Drosophila melanogaster: one gene and its partner. The protein of the gene in region 2 interacts with the protein of the main gene of each other region in a biochemical or structural test. Each region holds a gene or a part of one and is shown on either strand. Other genes may lie near its edges.

Evidence for each region. The genes of interacting proteins can lie anywhere in the genome.
Region 1: the proteins of MBD-R2 (region 2) and nsl1 form a complex in vitro, tested with the Drosophila melanogaster proteins (one study listed by BioGRID).

The regions. Positions count from the first base shown.
Region 1 is NT_033777.3:15,791,975-15,799,812, reverse strand, and holds the start of nsl1 (non-specific lethal 1), read right to left. Parts: upstream 6,032-7,838; 5' UTR 5,760-6,031; exon of another isoform or gene 5,613-5,759; intron 4,985-5,612; 5' UTR 4,907-4,984; coding exon 4,234-4,906; intron 4,168-4,233; coding exon 2,922-4,167; intron 2,516-2,921; coding exon 2,019-2,515; intron 1,727-2,018; coding exon 1,346-1,726; coding exon of another isoform or gene 1,332-1,345; exon of another isoform or gene 1,093-1,331; coding exon 777-1,092; intron 668-776; coding exon 551-667; intron 438-550; coding exon 1-437. Other genes in the region: Acyp2 (acylphosphatase 2), read right to left, coding at 6,489-6,603, 6,662-6,771, 6,840-6,856, 6,912-6,978; c(3)G (crossover suppressor on 3 of gowen), read left to right, coding at 7,371-7,838.
Region 2 is NT_033777.3:12,351,635-12,357,904, forward strand, and holds MBD-R2 (MBD-R2), read right to left. Parts: upstream 4,632-6,270; 5' UTR 4,510-4,631; coding exon 3,285-4,509; intron 3,212-3,284; coding exon 2,561-3,211; intron 2,497-2,560; coding exon 2,364-2,496; intron 2,311-2,363; coding exon 980-2,310; intron 911-979; coding exon 741-910; 3' UTR 509-740; downstream 1-508. Other genes in the region: CG10041 (uncharacterized protein), read right to left, coding at 1-429. UniProt on the Drosophila melanogaster protein: Component of the non-specific lethal (NLS) complex, a multiprotein complex that promotes expression of housekeeping genes on X chromosome and autosomes.

The DNA of each region.
Region 1 (7,838 bases), 3.4 Mb from region 2:
GTGGTTCTGGTGCTGGCTGAGCAATTTTGTCTTGCGTTTCGGCAGTTTTGTCAATCGGATTCTTTATCAAGTTTCCGTTGAGCTTGGGTTTGACCACCTTTTCCTTTGGATCGTCGTCTTCTTTTGATTGCGTATCGTGATCCTCTGCAGCCTTAAGTTCATCCTTTTTGGCGTTACCATTTACCAGTCCATTTTTATTATTATTATTGTTTGTATTATTATTGTTATTGTGCTTGACTGCTTGATTTTCCTTTAAACCATTAACCTTCGGAGGCTGCAGGGCCGGCTGCTCTTGATCTTGATCTGGTGGTGGTGGTAGCTGTTGTTTGGCTAGCTCCTCTGACTTTGATGCGACACAGCCATTGCTCAGTTTGCGCTCCATTGACTCATCTGACGAATGTTTTCCCTTATCGTTATCACTGTCTACAATGCGCCACCTGAAAGCAAAGATGGAATGGGTGATTTTAATAGATATACACAAATCTTGGTATTTTACATTATGCGACATATATATATAAAATAAGGACTTAGCGCAAAATTGAATACTTACTTGGGTATGGGTATTTCCTTGTAGGGAATTATCTCCATTTTCGACTGGGCTAGCATACTGTAGGGTATAACGATGTTATTGATGTCGTAGATGGGACGAACGCGACGCTCAGAGGTTCTGCAAGGGAAACATACATATAAATTATATATAACAATCTATCTTATAAAAAAAAAGCAGGACTACTTATCGCGAATCCCTGGGATCAGTTATTGAATCCGAAACATACCTCTCATTTTTATGACTGTTGGAGGGCGAAGAGTTGCGACGACTCCTGCTTTGCTCCCCCCACTGATCGCCGTAGCCATTGAGATGATGATTGTTGATTTTGGTGCCGTGGTGATTCTGCTGCTGCTGTGTGGAATTGCTGCTGCTGCTGTTGGTTGCGGATTTGCGTGCCTTCTTAGCGCCGCTCAGTGCCGAGATCGAGGTTGAGGAGGGACTGTGGTGGCGTTGTCGTTGGCGTTGGCGAGAGTCTGGCCACAGCGAGCTGGAACTGTTCGCTCCAGTTGGGTGTTGTGGTTGCCGCTTGCCCCTGGCCGCTGCTGATGTTGCGTCAAGTCCGTGATTTGGATGCGGAACGGGGACGAAACGGAGACAAGAACGGAATGGCAAAATAAAACAATTGGTGGGGTTTTTCGTTGTTGTTGTTGGTGGTGGTGTTTGTTGATGGTGTTGGTGGAATTTCGTGTTTTGGTTGATCGATGCAAAGAAAAAGAAGAAGAAGAGATGCAAAAGATTGTTGTTGTTTTATGTTAATAACAATTATCGAATTTCGTCATGTTTACAATAATTTACTGTTGGCCACAAGTGGCGTTGTAGTAGGCGTAGTAGAAGAAGAAGTAGTAGCAGTACCAGTACCGTTTCCGCTATCCCCTCCCCCGACGCTACTGCTTCCGTTTCCGCCTGCTCCTCCTGCGGCGACAGCAGCAGCTTTAGCTCCGCTCCCAGCCTCCTTATTTGAGTTGTTGTTGCGCTCCTTGCGTCGTATATAACGCCGCTTCGCCGCATCGCCCGACCGCCGGCTGCCACCTTGTCCGCCGACACCGCCTGAGGCTATCGTCTCGCGCTCCGCCTTCCACATGGCCTTGACAATGGCCTTGGGCTGGCTGCGCATGACGCGGTACTGCCAGTCCGGCTGGCGGGCAACGGCCTCCAAGTGAACCGACTGACTGACATCTGGGAAACAAGAATGATAGGGATAAGAATATATTCAAACATAATTCCACTTTAGCTGTCATCATCCGACTATTTCTTTTCATTTTGGAATCCAATGTAAAGAATACGAGGATTTTAATGTTTTAGTTTCGAATAAAAATTATTTGCAAGTATTGCATTTTAAAGTTTTACTTTTTAATCAATTCAGTTCAAATCTCAAGTGTAGAATAAATAATGTTAAACCATCACAGATGATAAGAAATAATCATGGACGAAAACCAAATGGGTCCACTCAGTGTAACCTCCCACTCACCGCTGGCGAAGCTGAGCACTGGATGGTAGCCAGCATCGAGCAATGCCACCCGGTTTTGCGGCATCATCGTCTCGACCAGATCCCTGGGCGCCGTAGGGTCTGTCCGACCCGTGCACAGTGTGCATGGCACCTGCGGCCACTGGCAGCCACACTTAATGTTGCTGGGGCGTGCGGCTTTCTTGGAAATCGTGTGCATGTTCGTGGTCTGGAAGAGCTTGCGTTTGCGGAACTCGGACAGCACCAATGGACGTGCCCGACTGCAGAGGTAGTCGGATCCGGGCTCCTCCTTAATGCCATTTGCCGGCTGTGCTAGCGACGGTGAGGTCTTAGCTGTGGACTCCAGCTGGATCTCGCCCTTGGACTGAGTTAGATCCATGTAAAGGTCGCTGTGCTGACGGATCTTCATCTCCAAATCGGTCAGCTGGGAGCAGAGCCAGGACCAGCGCAGGGCAATGGCTGCACGATCTCTCGAATATCGCCAGACAGCGCGTCGAGTGCTGCAAAGAATCAAATTTCAAGAGCATTAGGAAAGAGAATACCACAAAAAAAAAGCTAAAAGAAATATATAATCGCTAATTAACAATTTTAATAAAAACTGTTGAAATAGTTGAAATATCGCATTGTAAATGCGATAATTAGGTACAACAACTCTAATCAAAGCCTATTACAACTTTTCAATTGCTAAGGACGACGTTAAATCATGTTTAAAATGCCTGTCAAAGCAAAACAATTTTGAAAGAAAACTACCGAGCCAACATTAATCGGACAAATTCTATAGCAAAAGAATGATCTTAAAAAGATGACAGAAGCTGAAAACCCCCCTCAAAAAAAGATGGAAGAAAGTTTACTTGTAAAATATTCCCGATAACCTAAGTATGTACATAAATAATACGAAGTACTCACATTGGTAGCGAGAGCTGCTGGTTGTTGTTGTAGGTTACCATCTCGTCAGCGGATTCTCCACCAGAACTTGACTCCGTGGCGTCCGAGTCGATGGCATTCTGTACTTCTCGAAGCTCCGTGTGCAGCAGGCCAGACACATGGGTGAGTTCATTAGTCACATAGGTGTCGTAGCCGGGCACGATATCATCCGCCCGCGGTGTATTCGAACCCGTTGCGGATCCCGTCGTGCCAGCTGCCTGTCTAGATGTTACCGCTCCTGGCGCAGGTGCAGTGGGTGTGGCACCCGTTGCAACCGAAGCATCAAGTTGATTCTTTCGTGGACGCTTCATCGGCAGCGCAGAGCTGTTGCAGCTGTTGTACCAGCTGGAGGATGGCGCCAGAGTAGCAGAGCTTCCGCTGGCTGAGTGGCAGATTTGCTGATGCTTTGCCGCCGTCGCAATATGCCGGATCACATTACTCATCTGGCTAGCAGGCAGCGGATGCTTGTTCTGCTCCTCCCAGAAGGTTGAGCTCGGACGCCCTGAGACAATCGATAGGACAGTGGCCTCCTGCTCAGTCAGCGTGGAACTTCTCGCTGGAACTGGAGCCTTATGGGAACTGCGGGCAGACCACTCCATGATACCAACCACCTCCTCGCTCGCGTGACGGCACATCGCTCGCGCCTGGAGCTTGCGCATCCTGCGTAGCAAAAACTCGATCCTGCGCGAGATAACGTGCTGCTGCTGCTCCAACTCAGCATGACTCTCCTGCCAGGGCCGCTGCTCCTGCTTAATAATCACATTCGGCTGGGAAATGTTGCTGCCGCTAACGAGGATGCCACTGCAGCTGGGCTTCGCGCCCGGCACATCCACCACATTTTCGGGTGGCGCGGGCGGCAATGGCGCTGCCGGTGCTGCCTCTTCCCAAACTTCGTCGAAAAACTCGCAAATGGTATCTGGATTAACATGGCCACCGTCAAATGTTTTGAGCGCTTTAAGCACCTCCTCGATATCCTGATCCTCTAGAACAGCACCAGCTGCTCCGTCTTTGAGAAAATTGTTGGAACTGGTGGTGCTTTGCGGCGTCATCTGTTGAATGGACTGCTGCTGTGTTCGCGCCGGCTGCGGAGACTCAAGATGGGCACTTGGTGGCGCCTGTGGCCTGGTGGGCGTGTTTGGCGCCTCCTGCACGGGTACCGGAACAGAAGGTGGTGCCACATGCTCCTCGGGCCTTCCAGTGGCATTCCCATCTAGCTGGCTGAGACGCTCTGAAACAGTGGGCGAGAGAAATTTTGAGTCAAGACTATTTATTTGGAGTGATTCCTTAGACCCACCTTCTATATTATCTATTTCTATCTTGGTCACCTCATCCACTGCAGATAAGGATAGAGCGCTGCCAGCACTCGTTGAACTTGTGGCCACTGCCAGCACCGAGGCAGGCGGAACCGGCTCTTTCCCCAGACTCACATCGGGTAGGGTTTTCCTCAGGCAAATCTCCGCGGATATGGTCTCCTCAAAGTTGATGGTTAGATCCGCCAGTAGCTGAGCGGTGGAGTTGTCCTTGGGCGTGGAGCTGTTGTCGGCGGAGGTGCTGTTGCCGGCGGAGGTACTGTTGCTGTCGTTATTGTTGTGCTCCACGGCAGAGGTGGAGGCTGCCGCAGTATCCGTCGAGGGATTTGGTGAAGTGGTGCTGTGTGGAGTCGGGGCTGTGCTCAGCCCCATTGGTTCATTGCTGGCTTTAGCGTTGCCCGACTTTCGCTTGTTATTGATTGCTAGCGAGGATCGCTGCTGTTGTAGATGCGGGGAAGCGGTAACTGAGGCCGCTGCCGCTGATGAGCGGGTAATCCGCGTGGTGGCCGTGGCCGGCGTGGGTGTTGCCGGCTTCTTGACCAAGCCAACTGCACATCCAACTCCTCCGCTTTCCGAGGAGCTGCGGGCCGAGGGCGAGGCGGTGCTGGTTAGCTTCTCCTTTGGACTTAGTGGCTCGGCTGTGAGCGCTGGGGCCATCGTTCTGATGCTAATACGTTGGCCGGCTGCTGCGGCATTTGGTTCGTTCGACTCCTAAGGCGTCTCTTTATGCTAATCCTGTCGAGAATTTTCCAAAAACGGGCTATTATTTTTCGGCAATTCAGCGTTAGGACGACAAAATAAAGGCATACTATTCGGTCCGAGACTACTGCGTTATCATATAAAAGAACAATATTGGTGTATTTATTTTTTATCTCGTTTAAACCGCCCGCCTCCGTAAGATTTCAAAATTTGGAATGGTTTTTTTTTTTTGTCTTTTCCGGCGTGTTATGTACATATGCTACATATGCGTACACAACACACACACAGCGTCGCTTTGGCCAACAAGAGAACCCATGAGAGCGAGAGAGAGGTCAGAAAGCGCGCTATTGCACACCATGATGCGCAATAAAAAAAACTGTATAGAACACACACACACAAACATATGCAGGGACTGACAGACTACTTTACATACTGACGAAATCATTGCGGTTACTTTCGAAAATTACAATTTTCCAAGATTGGGCATCTTCTGCCGGCGGGAAACTGCCGATCATGCCACCATGTTTTTATGTAATTCCGTTTATTGAGTTTTTCCACTACAATTAGCCTAGGCAAACGGAAACTCGCGCCTTTACACACACACACGCACATGCTAGCACACACACACGTGCAACTGTATGCGCCACTATATTCAGTTATTTACACAATCTCATTTATTGTATTCCACATGTCTCGATCAATTCTGCAGTAAAAATCAGTTATATGTGCTTTGTGTCCTATCTATATTCGCCCAGATTCCAGCGAAAGGGCAGTGGAAAAAGGTTTTCAGCGCGAAAGTAATCGTACTCACTAACACATGCAAGCAAGAACACACCGACAGCAGGCAGGCAGCACGCAAGAATTTGTAAATTGCTTAAAAATTAAGTAGTATTTTTTTTCATTATACGCACAATTCGGCCGTTCCGAAAAATTGCCCGTAGCACAATTGGCAAATATTTTTTGCAAACACAATGGCGTGACTCGCACTGTAGGAATTACGGTTTTCGCTTCACGGACTTTTTTCCTCATTTATTTTTTTCATCGCTTAGACTGCTCTGCTACGCTTTTGGCAAAACGACGTGTATCGAAGCTGTACTCGTTTCTGTGCCAGACCAAAGTGCGCTGTCGCCCAGCTGGTTGTCTCGCTCTTGCACGTGCGCCGCCTATGGCGGTGGCGCGGCCCACTGTTGTGTGTGCGAGCGAGATGACCAGTGTCTATGGCAGGGAGCTGCAAACTATCGGCTGTGATAGCAATATATCGAGTAGATACTGGAGTGGTGCGCACTTTCGACTAGCGACTATCGATTCTCGGAATAATTTTCCGCCTTGTTTTAAATAATTTATTATTTATTTATTGTTGTACTTCAGTACTGGGTTCAGTTTTGCGAAACGTAATATTTCTTATGTTCATACTATCGAATGTTATCGACTCAGTCGATAGCAATGCAGATATGCCTGCTTACGCAAGTTGCAGCCCTGGTAATTTATTTAGACTTTGTTTCGGAATTGGATGGACAACGAAAGAGCTAATAATTCGTTTTTAATGTTTTATGTCAAAGGAAGTGAACGTATAGTCCTCGATTTCCTGGATTTGCGAAAATTCAGCCTTTGAGACCTTAGCGTTGGGAATTCGGTTGTTCTCCAGCCAATGTTTCCTTCAAATTAGTGGGCGATGGTTAAATGATTGAATTAGTGGAGTGCAGCGGTACCTACATTTCCATTAAATTCATCATAGGAGCCTCCAGTTGTCCCTTGACGGTCCCATCCCGGGTATTCATGCACCAGCCCCTAACTCCCAATCTTTTAGCCTCATGCGACGTGTGCTAAGCCAAAAATGTACATAAGTTAAATGTTGATTTCCAGATATATATATAGGCCTCCCAGTACTTACTTTGCGGAAGAACACACCTGCAAAATTTAATACGCTGTTTAACAAGCCGAATCAGAAAAATGCATTGCATACCTTGCACTCGTCCAAAGATCTCGAAATCGAGGGCAAATATCTGCTTGGCAACTCCAGATCCCGCCATTATGTAGTCGTGATCAGATTTCTGATGCCACTTAGATTCCTTGCAGCACTCAAATTTCTAAATAGAGCTAGCAAAAACTGAATGTTGACAACCAAAATAGAATTATTATTAAATTGTAACATAGTTATCGTAGCCAGGGCGACAACGCAAAACCAGGGGCGTTCAGTAGAAAATACCGTGAGGTCAGTATTTAGACAGTACACACACCTCTTGTGAACAACAATATACTGTAGGTCATCAAGCTCATCTCTAGCTAATGTTTACCGTTGCTTTTCAACGCAGGACGCACTTGGTAAAAGTTTAGGTAAACTAAACAAAACGTTTGTAATGTACAATATATATTTATTTCTTTTATAAATTAGTTGCGCTAATACAACTGCTTAGCTGGCAAAATGACGGGCGCCAAGAAAAGATCGGGAGCACCGTTAGTGGATGCAGCTCACTCGAAAGCCCCAAAACCAGGTACAGTTGCCCAAGAAAAAAACAGCCAAATTCCAACTGTTTGGAAAAAGGATCATGTAAAAACTCAACTTTTCGAAAGATCAAACGAAAAGCCATCCAAAAAAAGAACTCCGCTAGTGGCTCCTAGAGTTCAGCAATCAAAAATTGAAGCGCAAACTTCTCAGGCTGTGGAAAAAACACAGGAAGACCAAACTTTTGCAGCCACCATAGACAGTTCAACAAAAAGTCTAAAAAAGTCTCCCAAAAACGAGGGAGAATTATGGGCAGATATTCAGAAGCTGTCGCCCCACACGGGAATAATAATTCATAGCTTCATAAAGCAGTACAACGAATCGCTAAATAATCTCAAGAAGAAAGACTTGGTGGTCAGCAAGAAAATGAGAGCCATCGCCATGGAC
Region 2 (6,270 bases):
CACATCGTCGAGCGGGAATTTGGGGTAAATCCTCAACACGGCAATGTCGTTGCCGCCGAGCACCCTAAACTGGGGATGCCATCTTCTTTCCACGACGAAGAAGCGGGTCTGCTTCCGGCTGTTCAGCGAATCGGCGCCACCAGCCACGTACAGTTGTTTGGTTGGATTCGTTTGGATGCAGTGGGCTGCACTGAGCACGAACTCATTCGAAAGTATAACGCCCACGCAAAGGTGCTTGTAGTATCCTTTAAGGTTCTCTCCTATGGAGACGATGTATGGATAACGAGGGCGGAAACTTATCACCTTCGTGGTCGACACAGTTGTGGCTAACAAAGGTGTGCTATTCTGCGGGGTGTCGGAAAGCGTCTCCTGGGCTGCCGACATCGCGGCGAACCAAGCTATGGAGCAAAGAGATTGCCAACAACACATAACTGCGACCAAGTCACGAATACAAAGACGTCACAAAGACGTCTTGTAGTCAGGTTTTATCATCAAGCATCTTAACTTTATAATTGGGCATGAAATTATAATTTTCTGTATTCTCACATGGTTAACTTTAAAAGAATATACATTTAAATTCCATTATATTATCAAACTTTATAAAGTATAGCAATATTTTTTTTGAAGAGAAAAAGCTTGTACGGTTACTATCTACACGTCTGCAAAATTATGGAAACAGTTCGAAAATAGCTTAAAAGAAAATCCTCATTAGACCCCTATAACCGTGATCAATAGAAATGCTACTTGCTAGTGGCAGAATCTCTGAGGGTCTGCTTCATATTGGCCACCTGGTTGAGCTTGGCAAGGCGCTTCATGGTTTCGAGCTCCTTAATAAACGTGGCCAGCGCCTCTTTTGTGGTCGAGATGTCAGCGTCCTTTAAGTCATCCAACGTGTCCTCCTTTTCAAGTTCTAAAAGAAATTCAAAAATATATATAGATTCATATATACTCGTGACAAAAATTAGTTTTGGATACTAACCGTCCATTTCGGCTTCTATGTCATTCAGCCGATCGAGAACCAAGGATTGCTGCACCTTGATATGCTCGATCAAACGGTACTGGCACTCCTCCGGATCGATGGCAGCTTCCGGTTGCGGAACGTTCGGAAGGTCGGGGGCCTCCAATTTTGCACGCTTAACCGGTGTCAACGCAGTAGAGTCCAGATTGTCTTCGTCCCACTTTTTGGCCCATAGATAAAGCTTCGGATGACAGCGGTTGCGTGCGATGTTAATCTTCACCAGCAGCGAGTGCATCGATCGCTTGGCATCTAGCAAATTGCCGGTCAGCGTGTGCGAGCGCTTCAAGAGCTCGAATTGTTTGGTGGCCTGTGGATTTGCAGTGTGATACGCGGCCACCGGCAACTTGCCTTCGAATAGCCAGTCCTGGTCGTGCTTAAATCTCATAGAATCCCGACCCCTCTGCGGATTGCGACAAATGTAGCACACATACTTGTCCGGTACATCTGCCTCTTTGACAATTCCGTTGCATGCACCGTGTTGCCAGCATAGGCACAATTCACATTGGATCATTAGGCCGTCCTCTTCGCCATACTCGCAGATGCAGTTAATGATCTCCTCCTGCCGCATGCGCACAATTCGAATTAGTTCACCATTTTCCTTGATGTACTGTGGTGCTTTGCTTAACGTTTCAGCTGGTGGTGGGGCAAGGGCTGCATTTATGTCGGTCTGGTCATTAGATGATGGCGTGGACACCGAATCTCCCATGGCTGGTGAGTCAATGGAACTGATGGGAGTTGTTGCCGCACCACTGCGGCGTTTTTTCGAGTCGATGCGCGTATCCGGAGTGGGGGTGTTAAAAGATTGCCGTGTCTCCTCAACATCTTGTTCGGTTAAGCCATGACCAGCCGGGTTATCTGACAAAATGGGACGACGCTGAGAGCGCTGGCGGTTACTCTTTCGCGAGCCAGATGGCCGCTTCGACGGCGACAAGCGTGCACGCTTGCAGGAACGACTCAATGAAGGATTAAACGACTGAGTTGGACCAGCATCCAGAGAAACATCTTCTTGTTTAATGCCACTTTCAACAGTTGGCGACACACTTGGTGGCTCCATCTTAGGAGATAACAGGGCCTTAGTAGGCGTTATGTCAGATGGCGTTGAAGATGTGGCCGTAGCTGATACACTCTGTCGTTTAAACGATCGTGACTGCTGCAAATCCTGCTGGTGCATTTTGGCAAAGAATTGCTGGTTGGGTATTTGGTTTTTTGGCACCGCCTCAACTTGATCGATGGATGAGGGGTGCGTACGTTTGACCGCTAGTTCCTGCATCTTTGGACAGTGGCTGACGTGTCTGTAGATTTAAAGTAAGTTAGGTGTCATGAGTTTTGAATGAATATTACTCACTCTGCAAACTCCTTGTGATAATGGCGAATGTGGATTAGCAGAAAGTCTTCTTTGCGATAGGTCTTGGCGCAATCTTCGCGCGGGCATACATAAAGATTGTCTTGGATTTTGACTTTTAGGCCCCCAATGAAAGCTGAAATATGGAATTATAATTTATTTTAATATAGCACATGTTATTTCAAATTGCATATACTTACCAAAGCCATTTTCCACCACATGAGGATCTGCTAACATAAGCTGAGAGGTACCTCCCTCACTGGCTTCCAGTATTTCTGCTTCTATCTTGGGCTTTGTCTCATCGGCAGGCTGCGTCTGCGGCGACATTAACTCAGCTGGTGGCATAAGCGAGGCCACCGGTGCTTCCATGTACTGGCTTTCTTTCACCGGCATCGGAGTAGAAGGTAAAGAATGTTGCGACGTGATGCTCTGGTCCAGCGTGGAGTTCATCGACACATCCATGGGCCTGGGCTTGGGCGGTGGCTGCGGATTGTAGCCGTGTGTGTAGACGTAAGCATTGATGTCTTTGGCACGACGTCGATGGATGCTAAAGTCGTACACATCCGGGTTGTAGACCAGATTCTGGGACTCAAGGAACAACTTCAAGTCGGACTTGGAGCGGAAACGTTTGCCGCTGGGCGAGACCAGAATAACATCCCACTTGCCGAGGACGTTGGACCGCTGGTACATGTGCTTGATCCAGCCAGGAGGCAGACGCCAATCCTGCACGATAACAGTGGGTTTCTGGTGCTCGCCCACAATCAGAAAACCCTCGGTTCCAATAGGCTGGTCATTTACCCAATGACAAGTCCACTCGCCGTCATGCGGTATTTCTGGGAGTCCAAGGGATGCTGTTGGTTACGAAAGTCAAACATGAAAGTTAAGTTTAAGGCAAAACTAACATTCTCCTTTCGGTGCTCTTACCTATATCCAAACTGGCCATGTCCAGCAACGGCCAATCCCTGCGCTGAGGTGCACATTTGCTCTTCTTGCTGCCCGAAGAGCCACTGGATCCGCCAAGGCTGCCTGTGCTCGCCCGCTTCGGAGCCACAGGTGCAGAGCTTACTGGAGTTCCAACAGGAGTGGGTGACTTTGAGGCACCCTCTTCCGCTACCTGAACAGGGGGCAACTGCTTGGGCATCTTGTTCATGTGCACGGCGCGCACGTTCTTAACGTAACCATCGTCGAAGAGAACCTCGTAGGTATCGTTGCCCAGCAACTTGCGTATGGTTCCTGGAAACTTACGCGGCCCCGACCAGCGGGCCATGCACTTCTCGTCCAGCTCAAAGACGGGCAGCACACGGTTGCTGAGGCGCTGCCTCAGCCGCTCCGACTTGATGGCCATCCACTCCTGAAAGCTGCCGCTGGTCGAAGGTGACACCTTTAGCTTGTGATTGCGCTCAAAGCGCACGAGTAGCGTCTGCTCCGTCTCGTTAACTTCCACGATGCGGGCGGGCAACCAGTTGCCTTCCACACTGAGCGCCTCCAAACGGGCGCCAATAGTCAGGTTATGTGGGTTGCTGTACTTGGGCGGTGTGCCGGGCAAAGGTGAGTTCGAACTGGAAGCGGATCCAGGAGCTGGGACTGTGGCTTCGCTGCTTGCGGCTACCGGAGTCCCTGAGGGTTCCTTTGCAGCTGCCTTGTTTGCATCTTCTCCACTTTCGGGAGTATTTTTAACGTCATCCGCCGCCTTGCCTGTTTTACCTTCCTCCGTGGCCTTGCGTTCTGCAGATTCCGACAGGATTTGCGCAACTATTTGGTCTACCGTAGCTTTGATCACATCGTCATTGGTCGATGACTGAGCATTTCCCGGGGTTTCAGTCGTTCCCTCCACGCTGGCGTGCTGAAGTGCCCGTTGGTCTGCTTCGATCTCCGCGGTATCCATCTTGCCCCATGGAAAAACGGTGGGAAAGACGCGCGGCTTGAGCAGATACTTCCCATTGCGGATAGTGTTGAAGTCCAAACGGCGGAAGTGGCGTGAGCAGACCAGCACGCTCTTGGTGATCTGGCGCTCCAGGCTGATGCGAGAGTTTTTGATCCATATGGCGCGGATGATGGGATCTAGGGGGAAGGAGTGGTAAGTCACGCCGTTGTGCTCCAACAGACGCGACGTCGACGGGCAGTTGGCCACGCAGCACCGGCGGCCCATGGCGATGAAGTTCACCCAATTCTCTATTTTGTTTGCCTATGTGCAAACGCACACTTTGCTAAGTGATGAAATAATCCAGGAAACGACGCGAAAATTATCCAGAAAAATACAGCGCAATAAATTAGTGATACCAAATTGGGGTACAGTAAAAACGTGTGCGTCGGCAAACTATCGATAGTTAGATATTGCCACCTTGTTGGAAAAGTTCAAAACTATTTAACGATATTTTTTGAATTTTATAAAAAATAAATTTTAAATGACTTTATTGCATAGATCTTTATTGTGGTGATAAATAAATACTACTTTCGATAAATAAATAAATATTACTTTAGAGCCTGAGTAGGTTGAATTTAATTACTTTTTATTTCTGACTATCTCAATTTTCATGAAACTTTACATCAATCTTCCTGCCATAAATTAACTATTAAAGTTGGTAAATACCCGCTGCACAATTAATATTAATCGGTGCGTTAATGCATTTTAGCGAAGTGAGGGTGCCATAAATTTCCTCAGCTCGGCGGAAAAAGGATCACGTGCCGATACGCCACCGTTCCCAAGGCCACCGAAAGCCTATTTGAAATGCAATTAATGTACGCTTTTGGGCTTACATGTCACCACGTTCGCCAAAAGGCAGACACCTTGCAAAAAGCTAACCAAATACGATATTATCCATTCGACAAATGCTTCTGGAAATATGTATTTCAACACTGGGTTTCAAAGTTTGAGGAGCAGCTATTTACGCATACTGCTAAAATAAACACTCATTGTAGTTTTTAATTACAATATTTCACCCGGTCATTAGCATGCAAGAAACAACTGACAAATTTAAATGTGGCGCCTGCTGCTTGATCGGTTGATTGAGCCGCCAAAAAAATCGATTGAAGTATGGAGCTTTGGCCTTCAAATCGAAATATGTGAGGAAAATGTGATGGCACATTTTGAAAGAATAAAATATTAAGATTCTCTATATTGTGTCAATATCTTATGTATATATGTGGCTTGACCCCTCGAATTCCGTAACTAAACAGTTTAGTTCCATTACAAATATTGTTTTAGAATGATAGCCGGAAACTCACGGTCGAAGAGCTTCCTGTTTTTGGGTACTTCCCTGAAAACGAGGTCTCTGGGTCAATCGGTTGACTTTTAGATCTTGGGCGTGTTTGCGAAATTGACACGGAGCCAATATCAAATGGTGTTGACTTTGATTCAGTGGATTGCCAATATTTGTAATCAAATCACGGCTGGAGCATAAAGCAAACTTTAATTATAAAATGCTTTTATTGTCATATGCAGCTGACATAAATATTAAATAACGTGAGTAATTGACGTTGCTAAGCCGAATAATTTAGCATTTTATAAATTTTGGTCAGTCAAAAACTGACATTGAGGGGGCCACTCGAAGGGAAATCCAAAATGGGTGGTAAACACGGTTAGATTTCCGTTTGCATAACTATTAGTGAACATATTTGCATAAATTATCGACACTCGATGAAATTGGGACGACTGCACCTGACCTCACTCTCTTTTTGTGCAAATAATTCAACAATATGTAACCTGTGCAAAAATATTTTTCAAAAACAGAAAACCGAAAACAGAAATATGTACAAGGAGAGTACAAAACTTTTGGTCCAACTGACGGCGGCACTTTCTCCTTTAATATTTACCCAACTCATCGACAAATTGGCCAGGCCCATTCCCCAGCCTCATCTCATCGGTCCCAGCCGCATAGCCCATAAGTCAGCCCCTTCTCCCTCTCCCTCT